Linked DNA regions of Drosophila melanogaster. Changing the gene in region 2 together with the main gene of any one other region gives a genetic interaction. Each region holds a gene or a part of one and is shown on either strand. Other genes may lie near its edges.

Evidence for each region.
Region 1: of tyn (region 2) and neo, changing one suppresses a phenotype caused by changing the other (phenotypic suppression), as found in Drosophila melanogaster (one study listed by BioGRID).
Region 3: of tyn (region 2) and nyo, changing one suppresses a phenotype caused by changing the other (phenotypic suppression), as found in Drosophila melanogaster (one study listed by BioGRID).

The regions. Positions count from the first base shown.
Region 1 is NT_033777.3:29,817,402-29,825,130, reverse strand, and holds the start of neo (neyo), read right to left. Parts: upstream 6,001-7,729; 5' UTR 5,852-6,000; intron 2,802-5,851; 5' UTR 2,751-2,801; coding exon 2,377-2,750; intron 2,312-2,376; coding exon 2,151-2,311; intron 2,092-2,150; coding exon 1,890-2,091; intron 1,757-1,889; coding exon 1,505-1,756; intron 1,363-1,504; coding exon 431-1,362; intron 358-430; coding exon 157-357; intron 14-156; coding exon 1-13. Other genes in the region: CG7829 (uncharacterized protein), read left to right, coding at 7,403-7,729.
Region 2 is NC_004354.4:138,417-143,447, reverse strand, and holds the start of tyn (trynity), read right to left. Parts: upstream 3,131-5,031; 5' UTR 3,106-3,130; intron 2,727-3,105; exon of another isoform or gene 2,612-2,726; 5' UTR 2,250-2,611; exon of another isoform or gene 1,251-2,249; intron 1,241-1,250; exon of another isoform or gene 1,133-1,240; intron 718-1,132; exon of another isoform or gene 579-717; 5' UTR 446-578; coding exon of another isoform or gene 1-445. Other genes in the region: CG17707 (uncharacterized protein), read left to right, coding at 1-445; RhoGAP1A (Rho GTPase activating protein at 1A), read right to left, coding at 3,674-3,863, 3,924-4,173, 4,242-4,381, 4,518-4,678, 4,743-5,031.
Region 3 is NT_033777.3:31,541,344-31,546,140, forward strand, and holds the start of nyo (nyobe), read left to right. Parts: upstream 1-1,688; 5' UTR 1,689-2,184; exon of another isoform or gene 2,185-2,234; intron 2,235-4,797.

The DNA.
Region 1 (7,729 bases), on a different chromosome or scaffold from region 2:
GCCGTGATAAGACCTAGTGACGAGGAGAGAGAGAGAGAGAGCGCACGGGGTTATTAGTATATTAGGCCACTAATCCGTTCATCTGCCAGCTGGCAAAGTGGTTCTTTAAGACGCGGTTTATGGCCAGCCGCCACATTGAAAGTTATTAAAGCTTACCAATGGCGTTAACGCAGAATCCGTGACCCTCCTCGTTGGCAGTGAATGTGGTCTCGTTACCGTCGTAAAAGTCTCCGCTTTCCTGCTTATCTTGCTTGAATCCGAACTTATCCGTAATCTGAATGGACTGAACCAGCAGCATGTCGCTGGGGGCGGACTTCTTTGAAGTGTCGATGTCGCGACGTGGTCTCGGATGATCATCTGTGTGCGAACAGGTTGTTGAAAGTTATAGCAAGAGAAGATAGCAAGACCATCAGATGATCTGTGATCTTACCTGTGGTGTTGAGCGATCTGCGTTTCCGGCCATAGGACAACAAGGACCTGAACTCCCCGCTGGTGTCCTCCTGCTCGCACTGGACGGGCTCGCAGCTGGGCATGCAGGGCGTGACCAAGGCGCGGAACTGGACCACCTCGCTGGAGGGGAACTTGAAGGCATCGAAATTGGAGAGCAGCATCTTGCCGGAAACCGATCCCTTGTAAATGGGACCCATTATGAAGTGGTCGGTTGGGCAGCCATTCGAATCGATTAAGGTAATTTCCGAGTTATCCACGCCATCCATGGCAACCAGCTCCCGAATGAAGATCTCGTAGGGGCTCTGCTCGTCGACGATCTCGAACTTGAGGGCCAGCGGGTCGCCCACCTCGGCGGAGCGCATCATGTCCGAGCCGTCGCGCGACGTAATCCGCATGATGACGTTGGGCGACTCCACAATTACCTCCTCGGACAGGGCCGGCATGATGTCGCCGCGCACATCCAGATCGACGCCATTGCTCACCGACTTGTTGGTCAGGTCGTACTGACAGGCCAAGGCCAAGCCCAGATCGGAGGATGTCACAATCATGTCGTGGTGCTGGATAATTATATCGTTCACATAGCGCCCGGCGGTGCTCTGGCGCACATTGCACTCCAGATCGTGGTAGTTCATGCGCAGCTCGAAGTCCAGCGCGCTCTTCACGTCCACCGAGCAGGACTTGGGCGATCCCTTGGCGTACACCTTGCCGTTGAAGAGCTTGGAGGTGCGGATGCGTGCCAGCATGTCCCCGCCGCCGCACTCGATGGTCACATTGTAGCAGGAAGTCAGTTCATAGGTCGACGCCTCGGGCACCTCCAGGAAGGGTTCCTGCACATCCGCCAAGGTGGCACGACTGTGATGGGATAATCTACACACCATGTCACCCGTGTCGTTGTAGTCGTACGAATGGCACCTGAGTTGGATGGAAATGTCGAGGATGGTGTGATATGATATCGCCTTCAATCAAATAGTCTAATTGGCGGACCCAAAGGGTCTAGTCCCCTTAAATCCCCCAAGATCAGGGAGAGCTGCTTATAATTGGACATGTTACTGACCTATATGGCGAGTTGAGGCACAGTTCCCGGCACTCGTCAATGCTGCTCACTTCTTGGTAAACCGAGTCCACCGTCTTCAGTATGCGACCAGGTAGACGTTTGAATTCGCAGAGCTTGTTGGGTTCATCGACACAGTGATTTTCAAGGTAATCCGACCCATCGTTCACCTGGAAGGCCTGGGAGCCGGCCAGAGTCAGGCGATCCAGTTCGCTCAGCTCGCAAGCTCCAGAGGTGCGATCGTAGTTGGCAGATCTACAGGGGACATATGTACATAGTTGAATATGGAATAATCGGTTTCGGGTTGGGGGTTGCAGTTTTCTGCTTCACTTGACTTTGTTGAGGGTGAAGTTTGGGTGTTTGGACTGTACTACTGGGCGCTACCTACCTGCATGTGAAGTCGTTTTCGCCGAGGCAGAGTTCAAAGCACTCGCGTCTTGACGCCACCGACACGGTACGCTTAACTTCCGTCTTGAGCTTGTAGTTCTGAACACGATCGACGTACCAGGCTCGGGAGCAGGGCTTCACGGCCAGGCATGATTTTTGGGCATAGATAGTGAATACGGGGAACTGCGACTTTGTCAGGGCACCTTCGTAATGATTGTGATTAAGTCGCGAGCTGGTTTGTTTAGCGGCATAAGTAGCTTACCCGGTAATTGATCAGCATGTGCCGAGAAGAGCACGCAAAGCCCGGTCTCGTAGTTCACTGACTGGCAGGTTTTGTTCTTCCTACAGGTGTCCAAGCAATCAGTGAGCATTAGCGTGCCCGGCTGGGAGTCCATCAGCTTTTCGGGCGCCGAGAAGACGTATCTGGCGAAGGACTTGTCAGTTGAGCAGCCATTAGGGTAGGGTAGCAACCACCCGTCTTTACTTACCCTGTCACAATTTCAAAGCCCACCAGCTCGGGATTGCAGTCCACGGGAGCATTGTCGTAGTAGATGCTATCCTCCTCGGAACCCAGAGAGCTGGACAAATCCGAGGCGGCCGGCAAGTCGAAGCCCGAGTTGCGGGTCTCCACGTTTTCTACGGGCCTCTCAGTCCTATTGATTTCGGTGGAGGTTTCTTTGGCGCCGGGCCACTCTGTCTTGTCCTTAATCTCCTCGGAGGCCATCACCTTACTGGCATTCGGAGCTGCGGCAGTCACCGATTCCGCAGCCTGTCTTCGGATTCGCAGGTGCTCCTTGGCCGTGGCCGCACTGTACAGCATTAGGGCCAGGAAGAGGTGTCGCAGTAGGTTTATCTTGGCCATATTTAGAGTATCTATCACTGGGCCTGTAAGAAACAAGCTGCTGCTGAGTATCTAAAGATAGATAGAGGGCTGTTACTTAAGATACATTATCTATCCTCAAACATTCCAAGCGTTCTGAACCAATAACTGCAAATGGGTATACCTGTTTATAGAACATCTTAAATAAGCAAACATTGTATTGGCCCATAATCGTAAGGCATAACGCTAAGCTTTATTTATAAAGCGAGCCAAATTGACTACGCAGGCACTGTCTCAATCTCTTCAAATTAATTTGTTTGCCATAAGGCGTAACGCGAATTACGAAGTCGCAGAAACAATATCACGGCCAGTTACTCCACTCCACTCCACTCCATTCTATCCAGTCGGATTGGATCCATTCCGTTGGGAAAACGGAGCTCACGTCGATGACCCCGTGCACTATTCACCAGATTCGCCACTATTCGCGATCCCCTGATTTTTTTTCTGGTCCGCTGAGCTAAACTCTTGCGCAACAGCCAAGTTAATGGGCATCGCTTATGATTGACGGTTGCGCTGTGGAGACCATCAAGGGGTCATGAGCTCTAATTTTTCGCCAAGTACCATGTAGAGCTTGTTTCGCCAGAACCTCAGGTACCCAAAGGAACCGAACCTTAGGGACTCAAGAAACCCGTAAGGAATGGACAATTTGGAAAATTATTAATACAAATACTTGCGAGGCGGGACAACAATTCAATTATAGAAAAGAATATTATTACGAAAGGGAATACATTTGGCTTTCGAGCCGCGTAATTGCCATTGGCGAGTATCTCGTTAGGAGCCCACTTGAAGCATGACTTATTACCATGATAACTGTATTAAGAGATATACATATATAAAGTTCCTAGCTGGCTAGCTGGCTAGCAGCACAGTTATTCCATCAGAATTCTCATGAATACCCATGTGTGCAGAAAACTTTGGTGGGTAATAGATACGGATAGGATGGCATACGGATACGGATAGCTGATATGTAGAAAACGCATGACTGCCGACGCACCAGACACACTAATCCGCTGTGGCGACTTTCCGACGGGCCGACGTTCCACCCAAAACTGAGCTTCTTCATTCTTTCAAGATGATATTTAGAAACATACCGTTAATTCATCGGGTGATTCATAATTCATAAACCCTGCAGCGGTCAAAACGAGCCGTACTTAATTAGAGATAAAATGCTTGAAAGACTTTTGAATTCTTCTTTATTCTTTTTCCCTTCCTCAGTGGATTCTGGCCCGGAATGGCATGAATACGAATATGTCGGGGTCCGGTGCACATGACCATACAGCGTTCGGCATTCGGCATTCGGCAGTGCCATGTAAAGAATGGCCACTCAGGAAGCTGCATTATAACGAGTCCATGACCATGTTATTGTACAAAAATCTTGTAGAAAGCGGCAGAAGAATTGGGTCAATGATTATCGTCAAAAGCTGTTTCTGCCGAGCATAGACACATGCATGTACATGGCTACATGGCTACATGGGCACCTGGGTATGGGTGTTACGCCCGCAGCGATCAGGTCGAGCCCCAACCCAATCCCAATCCCCAAACGAAACCCAAACCGAAACCGAAACCCAACCGGTATCCAGTGGGTATGGGGCATCGACATGAACAGCCCAAGGAAACAGCGCCGCCTAACTGTGTCGCTGATCACAATCGATTAGTGCGAACAGTCGTTTATTGCCCAAATTACTGTTAAATGATCGTAGTTTCTGCGGGGCCAAGAATGCGGGGCCCCACTAAGCGTTCTCCCAACCACTGTGGGTTGCGGCTACTGCAAGGTTTAGAAAAAGGAAACTGAGGGAAGAGGCCAACTATGCGTGGATGGGCAGTAAAAGTAGGGAGTGCTGAAGGACCTCGGAACTCCTCTTTACTAACTAGAGAAATGGGTTTTGAAATTGGTAACAAAGGTAGGGGGAGATTAGATGAATCCACCTTGCAAAAACATTCTTGTCATAATAATAACTAAGCATAAAGAATACTTCTCTTCAATGTGCCGCTTTGTGCATATGCTACTACTATCTAGATCAATCAATCAGTCGAGCTAACACATCACAATACCGCTTTTGGGTTCACTGTTTTGGGCCAATCAGCACTTGTTAACTGTTTAGCACTTTCGAACTTTTTCTTTTATTTAACTGCCTTTGTTTCTGCGACCTTATAGCTCTTTTGGGTTTTTTTTTAATGTCGAACAGCGTCTAGTCTACACCCCTTCTGACCAACTTCGGCTCCATTCACATTCAGCCCCAATTCCAGGTGCATGATGTAATTAAACGATCTGCCAAGCGTCAATAGAAATCCGATCTTCGAGAGGGACCGCGCCATAGGAAAAAACTTTCACCATTCTGAATGTGTTAATGACTTCATTTCTCCGGTGACTAAAGCCTGCCAAAAATTTAACGGCAGGTATCACACTGTTAGATTAATTTCCCATTCGGCGAAACTTCGAATGTGGCCAATTTGGGATTCGTGGGATAATCACGGGACCACTAACGAACTACTGTGCTAATTTCCAGCTCTTAGGATTCACTGACTCTGAGATTTCTGCCAATATGCGTGAGTATCTCAGAATTTAGCCAAGAAAGCCGAACCAAGTCAGTTGGCATCCGTCGGGGGGGGAACTCCCATTCCAGGACGGAAGTCCTAATGTTTTGACGGAAGCCGCAGACTGGCTGCAGAACCTTGAAGAATGGTAAAGAATTGCGAAGAATCGTGAAGAACGTATATGTAACTGGGGCTGGAGTCTTTCGAGTCTTTTGCATTCTGCACAGTTTTTCTCAGTTTGCTGCGTTTTTGCAGTTCACTTTTTCAGAATGATTGTCTCCGTTTTTCAACGCTGGCATAGGCATAGTCATCCGTCAGTCCGATCACTGCCGTTTAAGTAAACCGGTTAACGTTTTTTGTTCAGATTTTTCTTAGTTATTCCTCAGTCGGTGCATCTGGGCAGCATCTGCTGAGTAGCGGTTCGATCGGAGGTGGAAAAGGCATAGCTCTGTTCCCACACCAGTGCTCATGATGTGAGGCATTCTAACATCTTCGTTTCAATATCCATATCCATATTCATAGTCATATCCATATCGTCAAACAATTACCTAATTAACAAGTTCGTTGCCTGAGTCTTTCCCGAATTTCAGCCTAGTCACACTGAGACAAAACACTTTCGCAGCCCAAGATCTTTCGCAATGGGAACAAGGGAGCACCGAACTTGACCATTCGATGGTCGCCGCAGAACTGAAGTCTTCCACGCCGCCGAGTGACTTGTTATAAAAATTAGATAAAGAAGTTCTGGGAGCAGCTCGGCTGGCGAAGGAAGAGAGAAGGCGCGAGAGAGCGGGACGCAGTTCGTCGTGGAAGTGGAATTCTTGCAAAAGAAAGTCTCGGGGCGATGGATGTGGATGATGCTCGCAGACGAAAGAACCTCAAACAGAAAGAAATTGTTAGCATGGTAAACACACTCGTGCTTGGTAATGGTGAGGTATCACCTGTGGCTGGATCTCTACACTCCGAACTCGAACGTGTTGGAGATGCAACCATGGTGATTGCGGTCAACGATCGAGAACAATGTGCACCTGTCTGCGCTCTTTGGCTCTCTTTGGGCCTAACATAGGTAACATATAAAGTTGGCATTATGGCTCCTCGAATAATTTTCTTATGGGCCTGTTAGCGCCCAAGGGCTGCCAGAAAAGCGACGCGTAACAATGGGTTTTGGCTTATAACTGTCGCTTGCGTTTTTACTATTTTTCACTTTCACTAATGAGAAATGAGGAGTGTGGAGTTGGGAGTTGGGAGTGAGAAAGGTACGTACGCAGGTGTCGCGTGAAATCGCTCGTCACCCATTTTCTCCCATTCTAGCCTAATCGGCTTAGGCCAAATCCACCATAACGATTTGTGTGGGCTTATGTTCGGTGTTTACTTTTACTCCATTTCGACTAGCCCCCATCCCCATCCCCCATTCGCACTGGCTGGAGATCAGTGATATCTGCCGATCTCGAATAGCCCACTTTATTGGCGGGGACAGCGCTTTCGACGTGGATATGCCAGTATGCCAGACCAGAGCCAGAATGGCCCATCAAACGGTGTTTGATTTCCAAATTTATGGGTCAAGCCAATGCAAATCAGTTGGCCGAGTCCGTTCGCCGAGAAAACGGGTCGTGCTTTGATAACAAATTGGGCAAACAATAGATGAGTGGAGGCCAGATTTGGCCATTAATGCTATTCAAATGATATACATTTGTGAAAAGCGAGGAGAATCGGACCGAAGAAAGCCCTAGTTATTGAAAGATGATTCATGGCAGATTGCTAGGTAAGTGGCCCCTTGGAGCACCTACTTGGTAGTTAAGTATTCCCTAATTTAATCCATTTGGTCCATTCTTTCCTCGCATTTCAACTATTTTGAACTTTAATTAGTCCGGCTCTTAATAACTGACGGCACGAACGGAGCTTAGTTACATATATTGTATATTCTGTCTGTCGGCGAAGCTGAAACAGTTGCGAGATAAACGAAACCTCTTCCTAATTACAAAGTAATGGGCACTTATTGAAATGCTTTTTCTCATTATTTTTCACGTTCTTCCGTACTTAAGGTGCGATCCAAAGACCGCACATTCCTACTTTAAAGCGATTCTTTCTCCGTTTAACTGCGAATGATGTACAAGTTATGGTGGAAATTGCTTCTCCTCCAGGCTTCTGGGTGTCTATCTCTGGAGAGTCGCCCAGATCCACGCATAGTCGGTGGCTTCCCAGCCGATATCGCCAACATTCCGTACATAGTGTCCATCCAACTGTACGGCATCCACCATTGTGGCGGCTCCATAATAAATAACCACACCATCCTAACGGCTGGCCATTGTCTGAACGGAGTGCCACATCGCCTGCTGAAAGTTAAGGTCGGCGGAACGTCGCGCTACCGAAAAGATGGGGAACTGTTCTCGGTCGCTGACCTGCAAGTCCACGAGAATTTCAATCCCAAG
Region 2 (5,031 bases):
GCCGCTGATTTCCAGGCGTTTAAATCTTTCCCTTTGGGCATGCAGCCTTTTCGTACTTCTGATCGTGGTCTTTGGGGTTTGGGAAGGACATTTAGGCACCACCAGCAGCGCCTTTTACGTGGGCGTAGCCCACACAGCCTTCGGATGTGGGCTAGTGTGGATCGTCTTATCCTGCTGTTGGGGGCTTGTGCCAACCGTAAATGCAATACTGTCGTATCGCGTTATGTGGCCACTTTCACGACTCACATACTGTGCCTATCTGATCCATCCCATCATAATGTTCATTTGCTCTTCGCACATGAGCGGCACTGTTCACCTAAGCAATCCTCTCATCCTGACCTTGTTTTTAGGCAACGCCGTCGTGTCGTTCGGATGCGCCTTTGTCATATCCGCCTTTTTTGAGGCACCCGTTATCCGAATACTTAAAATATGTTTTAAAAAGTAATGGAATCTGAATACCTTCGTACGTCAACGTCAATTGGTTTTTTAACCTTTTGGCAGCCAATTTGTTATTTGTTGGTTAATATCCCATATATGTATCTTCAAAGTGTACTTGGTTCTTCTCCATTTTTTTGTGTCTGCAACGAAGTAATGCACAATCAGATGTCATCTTATGCTTATAAATATCTATAGGCTTAAATATGTTATATATTCTTGTTAATGAAGTAGGCAGCTAACTGGAGATACGTTTTTTTTTAATAAAATATACCTTAAACCAAAGATAATCAACATTTAATTTGTATACAAGTATTCTACATGATATCCGAGGGGTTCCGCTTTAAATTGGCTTGGAGTTTTTTGTAAAATAAACTTGACTTAGTTCATGGCAATAAATACATAGTCTGTACGTCAACGTGAACACCATTGTCACAACAATATGTTTATTTTATACGTAAAAAATGCCTCGATGATGCGATTAGCCATGACCAGGATAGATTACGGTACTGATGAGTTAAATGCAGAACTATATAACTTGCACAGGATTGTTTGGAACGCAAAAATTGTATTGGAAAGGTTGGAAAGAATTTTGCTTTAATTCCCCCAAAATGAAAATAAGTCTAATTTACAAGGCGCATTTTGAAATGTTTAAGTAAAAAATGTTTTAAATATTTTAAACTGCTCTATTTAGTACATCTTAATAAACTTGTTGTAAGACAATGTATTTTATTTTTCCATAAATTATTTTGGTATTGAATCCCAGACCTACAACGCAATGAGCATTTGGCTATAGCGATTATCTTGGACATATCGATGTTGGTGAACGCGGTACTATCGATAATACTATCGTATTTTTGCAATTCTATTGCAATTATTATTATTTCAATTCAATTAAATTATAGCATTGAAGTACCCTACAGAAAATATGTCTAATTTTTTTAAAACAGATCCCTAAGCGTTTTTCTTAAAACCCGCGTTCATAAGCAAAAGCTTCATGAAAGTGAACTTCACCGAGAAGAACAAGATTAAAGAGAGCAATAGTAAACAACAAGTGTCGTCGTCGATAAGCGTAATGCGAAGTAGTAAAAGTAAACGCATCATCAGTTTATCTAGAAAAGATAACATTGATTCCCGGGATGATATTCTTTCGAAAAGTGGACTACAGTTCTGTCGAAAAGGTGCGCAACTTTTTTCAGCAATTTGGTCCTGTGCCTGTGGTGAATTTGCAGCCTTGTCAGATGGTTTACTATTAAAAATCTGCTGGCAGTCCTGGAGTCTTCAAACCGTGGTCCCACCTTTAGTTAATTTTTACGGGGCTGGCAGGATGGTACCACATTTCGGAAGTATGAAAATGAGATGAAAACAAAATTTTCAAGTTGATATACAAAAAGATCAAAAATAATATAATTTCGTTGGACTGGAGAGCCAGTGATTTCGAAATCAGAATCTTTGGGAACAACCAAACGGAAAAACGGAAAGCTAAAGAAGACACTTCCGAAATCTAGGTAGCATTCACACAGCTTAAATTGCCAAGTTAAAGATTCATTAAAATCCGCTAAAATAAAATTTCCTAGCCCAACGGCTTCATTAAGTCGACGATTTCCTCAGTGACGGACATGGCGACATGAACTCATAATAACTTGAAGCTCACCCAAATTGATAGCAATCCAGCGGACTTAAGCGCAGTGATCTAAAGTAATCCAAAGGACCCAAAAATATTATTTTAGTTGTTTAACGCACTGATCGTTTTCAGGACTCAAGATAAAGAATTCGAGACGTTTGAGACATATTCAAGTACATTTTGGTCATACCTGTTAAGGAATTTCAATTACTATTTCTAATCCGTGTTCCTAGAGCCTTTGGTGAGCTGTATTCCTTACGTATTCACATCGTGACTTTGGCTTTGTTGACTAAATCTCCAAGTAGAGTCCGAAAGCGCCTTCAACACTTTTAGAGCCAGTACTCATTTCTACTGCCGTCAATTGGTGCTTGAGTAGAGCGCCAAAGATAAACAACCTGGGCGTGGAGGAGCATTGCAAACAGACGGTGATCTAATTCGGCGCCAGTCTGGCAGCCTATTCGCCGAAACGCGGTTAAAAATCCCTCTTCGTTGTAGAGGGATAAGTGCAGTCAAATCAAGAGGACGAGGAAAAGCAATAATATCCAGGCCTAGCTTGAAAATGTATAAAGTAGACAATATAATTTTTAAAATATTCATATAAAAAAAACTGCCCTGAAACATAATTACAATGCCTGAATGATAATCTCGAAGCCCTATAGCAATATCTAAACAGATTTTTTTTTTTATTTTACGTTCTTTTTTATATAAAACCTAAATATTAAAAAAAATAAAAAAAAACTGAATTTTAAAGGCATACATATTTTATATCAATCAGCCGGAAAAAATCGCTACCACTACTTCTGTAAATTAAATTATTAATAAGTAGTTGTATATATACGCATATATATGTATATTATATATATAAGAAATAATGCATACATATAAATGCATATATTGTAGATATATGTATAAATTTTTATATACATATACATATATAATATAATATAATTATTATTACTTATACGTATATATATATGCATTATTGCTTATTATAATAATTATACCTTAATAAGTAAAAATTTATAAATACATAGTTAAATATATACCTATGTTTGTAGATATATATTTTAATTGTTGAAAATATTTGCAATTTTTCTGTTGCTCTTTTTTGCACTTGTTACGGTAAGCAGAACTTGCATCCAAATGTACATGTCTAGTAAAGTACGGGTAATATATGGGAGTAATTTTCAGTAACGGAGAAGCAGCGATGTACAAGTGTTAAACACTTGCTAGTTCCAGGTGTGCGATGTACATGGATGACCCGACATTGAGCTGATATGTGACATCCCTGGATCCTTACATAGATCCTGGTGTTTCCCTTTTCCACGTCATATCATCATATTCGGTTTATAATTGCAGTTGCGGATTCTGGTATATACAGTAGGCAGCACCAGTGTTTTATGGTGTTTTCGGAATTTAATGGCCTTTTCCGTAGTTTCAAGGTAGTTGGGCGGTTTGTTATATAATATAAGGGGTTGTCATTAAGATAGAGACGTGACGTATGAGTAGACTGTCCATCAACTTCCATCGTATTATTGCTATTGTTTGTAAAAAATATAATTTTTGTACATATATATATGTCCATATGTATCTGTGTAAACTGCTCACGAAATCCTAATCCTTCTTGATCCGTGCCTGAAGAAAGCAGTATAGGATTCCTGCCTGAGCCATAACGTCGACTGTGCTGGCTGCCAGTGGATCCTTCTGCTTCACCTGCGTTTGGCCCGGCCTTAGCAAGGTTGGTCCAAACACCATGGCCAGATTGTGCAACGACATCTTGTTATCTGTCTCCTTTTCGTGGACTCTACAATAAGTAGTGACAAAAAAAGTTTATTTTAAACGTCCATGTTTATAAGAAACAAACCTTATTAAATGATCTAATATCGAAGTAATGGAGGCTTTGTTGGCCTGTGGCAACTCCTCAAAAACTTTTAGAAGCTCGTTGATTCGTGTGGATTCGTTGTTGTTGCTAAAGGCGCTGAATGTGTCGAAAAATCGTGGATAAAGTTGATCCGTGAAAAGGGCCTCGGGGAGCTCCCTTAAAAAAGTTTTCAGAATGCCAGTGACCGAATGGATGTCCACCTCGCGTAGCAACTGCTCCGCCTCATAGGCATCTGAAGAAAATAAAATTAAGTGCAAATTAGTAATAAGACATGGTTACCCATCAAAGCCATATATTCACCAGACTCAAAGGCCTTCTTCAGCTTCGCCAAATCAGAAGCGGAACCGCTGACGCGGTAGCAGCCAACCTCCAGCATCCCACGCCGCTCTACCTCCCGAATGCAGGCGCCTATGATGAACGGAATGTCGCGTTTTTCACGTCTGAATGAACAGAAATATATAGTTTTACATTAATTTATATTGCTCACAAAGTTTATTAAAATATTTAATTATTTCTTTACAATTTTCATTTCACGAAAAGGGGTGCTGTTATTTGATATATGGAATTATTATTTACTTTAATACTTGACTCATTTTGGCACCGAAGAGGGCTCCTGGCTTTGTGCTGCCGCGGAAGAGCTCGCCTGGTATAAAACGGAAGCTACAGCCGAGCTCTAAGGTCTCAGTAAGTTTAATTGACTTCGGCTGCGTTGTTTCTGTCAGCCAACTTAAACTCAACTATGGAATCAAGCGGAATTATTGATGTAAAACTTAATAACAAAGATCAACTTTTAACTCCCACCTTAAGTATGTGCTTGGCTTTAAGAAGCGGTCGCTCCTTAGCCTCATAAAGAAGAATGCGTACATTCTGGCTGCCCTCCAGTTCCAGCATAAAGCTTTCGTTCCAGAGCGGCGTTTGACTGCGACATATCTTCTTGGTGGTGGCCTTGCGAAAATAGTGGCCATAGGAGTCCACCTCGACGCAGATGTACAGGTCGTTCGCTTGCTCCAGTCCTTCCAATCCATGAACTCCCATGTACAGGTCCCCAACCAACAGGCTCTCGTCGTTAGTGTTACGCATAAGATATGAA
Region 3 (4,797 bases), on a different chromosome or scaffold from region 2:
CAGCGTTTCGAATACGTGAACGGATGCTGTTCCAATCCGCACAAACTTCTACAAGAAACCCTTAAAGAAAAGCTGAGAATGAGGGGATTCCATTCAATTCAAATGCTGTGCTGAGTAGGGGAATAATATAAAATTTGAAGCATACACTCAAAAAGTTAAAATAAGGCGTCCAAAGAAAAAATTATAACTAAAGACTTAAGCAACAAACTTTATGGGACAGATGAAACATGTGCATCTGCTATGCGGGCTATTTTCGGAAATAACTGTTTTCATTTTCGCCCGAAAAACGAAAGCAACGGCAATAACGAAGCCTCGGTTCTCGCTAACTAAAAAAAAATGCACCTGTTCGCAGTCACACCAAAGAAAAAAATCACCGAGATACAGATCACCAAATCTTCCAAATCTTCGCAAATCAACGTGCATCATCATTAAGCAGCTGTCATTGTCACACGGTGAAATGCAAATTGCCTTTCTAACCCCTTCAATCCCCTTTTTTTCCACCTCTTCAAAACATTTTTGGGCATTTTCGAGCGCTTTGTGTAAACATTTCCGGCGACATTTGATTGCCGCTTTGCAAGAGTTACAATTTGCGCTTCCTTGCGCGACATTTCATTTAGCAATTGTCGCTTTGTCTTCAGTTGTGGATTTCTTTGATTTGGCTTAGCTTTCTCCAGATTGTGACGAACGCCTCGTGGACTCATCAGTATGCAGAAGATCGTGCCGCTTTTCAGTTACAGCTTCGTTGAAAGCGAAAGGTCTCCCGTCTGCCGTCATCCGATTCCACAACAATCCAAAATCCGATCCCAAATTGATTCATTTTTCGGTGTCCCTTTGTATCGATTGTTTTGTGATCGCCTATGTTTACATTGGCTGATCGTTCCAATCGTTCAATTTATGAGCCTAACATGTTAATGACTCAATAGAAATGTTATTAAATCATTTGTTGATCTACGCTGTCCGACAAATCTGTAACTTTCTTTGGCATCTTCAGGGGCTGTGTGATCAATTGATGGACGTTTTGATTTCTTCCTCGATTCTGCTGCACCTTTCTATTCAAGTTGACTTCGTTTTGGGCTCCTAATTCATTTAAACTGCGGTGCTGGACAGCTTTTATGGAGCATAAAACGCACGACACTGCCTGGCTGACCACAAGACGAGTGAAAAATGAGAATTCAAGTTGGCCAAGAAGTAATATCATAATTTTCATGTACCAATAACTCGACTAAGTGCGATCTCATGGGCCAAATTGATTTTTCCCCGGTTCTAGATCTCCAGTTCGATCTCCTTCTCTACGATCTCAGCTCGCAGCTCGAGAACTGATTTCAATTTAATTAATGATATTGAACGTCGTGTGTGCCCGTTTTGAACCCTCGTGGTTCCGTTTCAGCCGGGGGATTTGGTAATCGAAATTATGAATGGACCGCGACGGGACTCAATGAAATATGCCACATGTGCCCCAGAAGAGAGCACCTGAAGCGAAGAGAGCCCCAGAAGAGCGTCATCCCGAGAGAAATGCAATACCCACTCGCTTTTCCCCCACAGCTCAGCACAACTCACTCAAACGAGAGTTTGGCTTTGAGCCGTTTGTGTTTGCCACTCATTTCTCTGGCTTTGGCATTGGCTTTCTTTGCCCGACCGCTTTGTGTGTTTTTTGGCTTTCTTTTGAGCTCTATGCTCGGCAGCACTTTATATCGTTGGCCATTGTCAAGGCGAACGCACGCGAGCAGCGCAGCAAAGCAGCTAAAGAAAGGCAACTGAAGAACTCAAAACTCCTCCGTGAGCAACTTATATAACGACTGATTAGCCCGGAGTTTGCTTTAGTTATTCGGTCAACTCTCGACGGTCAAGCTCGCAGCGATCTCGCGACTTGGCAACCAAAAAATAATTCACAAAAGCACCGAATCGCGTTACAAGGAACTTTAGTCCGCGGCTTTGACGAGGAGCAACCTACCAGCAAAGTCAAGTGCAACATTCAATACCCACCGATGTGCAATGTGTGTAATCAGCAAACAGTGATCATTTACATACATGAATAAAACTCATCTCGAAAGTGAAGCGTGACTCAGCATCGATAGCCGAAAAAGGCAGGAGAACAAGACAATCCGAAAGGAAAGGATACTTTTCGGTCACTTCCAGAACTCACGACCCCAAGTTACAGTTGCAGTTGCAAAATATTCTGGCCAAGTGAGTGTTTATTAACTTTTACCACACACACGTAATATGCGCAATGACAAGTAAGAAATTCAGAAACAGTGATCGGCAAGAAATCTCCTTCTTCGTTAAACAATCTGCTTTGAGAACAACCTTGGGTCGATTGATTACAGAATTTCCCCCAATCCCCATTGAGTTCAAAATAAATAATTCAAGTGCTTTCCATAGCGGTTCACTTACCTTTGGAATCAAAAATATTTTTTTAATTTTTGTAGTTGTTCTTCCTTAAATATTTGCTCTCAGATAACAGAAGATTTCGAACTGTGAATATAAAAAGATACAGTATTAAATGACCTTAGATAAGGACTAAGTAGCTCGGTCGATCAATAAAAAAATTCACATTATACTTCAAAAATGAATTAATGCATCCTTAAAGGGCACAGAAAAAAAGTGTTGTAATCAAATTACAAATTTTGTATATATTCACACAAGTTGCAGAAAAAATAATAAATGTAAAGACAATGGCCGCCGAATGCTTCTTAGACTTACTATTTCTCGCTGCAATCAAAAATAATGTATCCAGATTGCAATTGTGATGGCATCCAGACATTTGCATTAATTGGCAACAGATTCATTAAGTTTCGTTGTCTTGTGCTGTCTTTTATAGATCATCTAGAGTCCCCACAATTAAAAGTGAACACAGGGCGGGCAATTAAAATAATTAAGCCCCCGATGTGGTGTGAAATCCACAATGCAACGTGTCAGAATAGAACCCACGAGCAAAGAGTGGGGAAAAAGAGATACTAGAACAGGACCCCGACCCTGATAAAAGGCGTTGATGATCTGAAGAGCAAGGCTAAAGCCAGAGAACCAAAGAAAGCCAAAGACCACCGGCTGAAATGATCCATTGAGTGTCAGCTACCGTGTTGGTTGGCTAGCGAGGGTTCTTCTTCGGTGAGCTGGTATTTAAATTTGCCCGCAATAATTGCCCTGGCCATGACTGGGCTTTGCTCTCAAACTTGGCTCCGGCTCCGGCTCTGCAGTTGTGGGCCAGAAAGCTAGGGAGTTGGCATCATGGCATCATCACGATGACATGACAGTTACAACACAGCCTTCGTTCGCCTGGCAGCTATTCATTTACGCAGCCTGCCAGTCGCCGTTGATTAGACGAAGCGTGCGCTTTAATTGCCGCCAAATGGCAGGGAAAAGACCATGCAGGCAAGAAAACCACGATGAAGAAAGAGAATCTTCAAGAGCCTTCGCCTTCGGCCTGGCAATTTGTCATGTGCATTTAATATTCGCCGGGCCTTGGCTTCCGTGCCTTAAAAAACAATTTGCGTTTGTTTGTCCAGCTTGTTTGTTGCAGTTAGCGTTGATTAGCCTCTGCAAAAAGTTCTCCCATTGCAATTACAGGCAACCAACATCAAATGCCACAACACCAGGTAGCCAGGCTGAGCCAGCTGAGCCAGCTGTGTGCCTCTAGTATCTAAAGCATCTTGCACCTAGCCACTCCCCACACACTTTGGTGTCAGCAAAGCAATTTCAAATGTCTGGCCATGCGGAATTTATATGGGCTCTATACGAGACCCACCGCATTTGGGCGTTCATTCTGCCGTGAAATTGATAGATTTAATTTGACATTTGGCGCAGGTCCGCGCATTTGTTTTTGCATTTGATTTCTAGCTTGCAGGCTATGTGCGCTTATGCTTTTTCTATTCCCTCCATTTTGTAATTTACTTTTGCGGCTGACAGTGGTCATCAATGGCTAATCATCGTAGTCGTCGAGAAGAAATCGCGAAATGGATTCTAAGTAGCGAGATTGCGACTGTGATTGTCAGGCAGAAAAACCGCTTCCGTTTCAGTTTAACCAAGATAATTGATTGATGGACCGCCGCATTTTCAATTGCCAAGACAACGTAGTCCATCTCTCCAAGAGTTGTCCGTCTGTAAGCCTCATTTGGGCCAACAGTTTTACTGTTTGGTTTTCGGTGTGCCAAATTACCATTTATGTTTATTTGCGATTGTCAACTTTTGGGTCAGTTGGCTGTTTGGGCTGGCAATTAGCACAGATCTACCCAACAATGGTCGACGGATGGGAAATAACATAACTGTTTGGATTACTTTGCATTTGGCTTTGGCCAGCGATTAGCTCTTCTACTGTTTTGGCACCTTTTTTTGGGGCTAATGCCGCTTGATCTTAGATTGGCTTCATGATAATTTATGCACAAGATGCACGAAATTGGGTTGAGAAATTATCGAAGGAAATTGGCTGATGATATCATCAGCTGATGAGAGCCGCTTTCTACACATCGCATTTCCCCCAAGAAGATTATCTGGCTGGCAGTACAGTTTATCCCACGATTTTGCGTGGCTCTATCAAACCATTTTGATCATGTGAATTACTCTTATTAAGTATACGCCCTGTTCGTCGCCTTTAGATCGCTGCCATAGCTCCAGAGGCTAATAGCATGGCAACAGCACAACCTGTCCATCAAAATGCTAGCTCGTTTCGCACTTGATTCGCTTTCATTGAAAAGTGTCCGATTTGAAGACATGCAGTTTGGCTAATTCGATCAGAAGTGCTGCCCGAAATAATTTGCAATTGTGTGAAAGTATTTTGCTGCCGTTTGTATTGCCGTAATATTT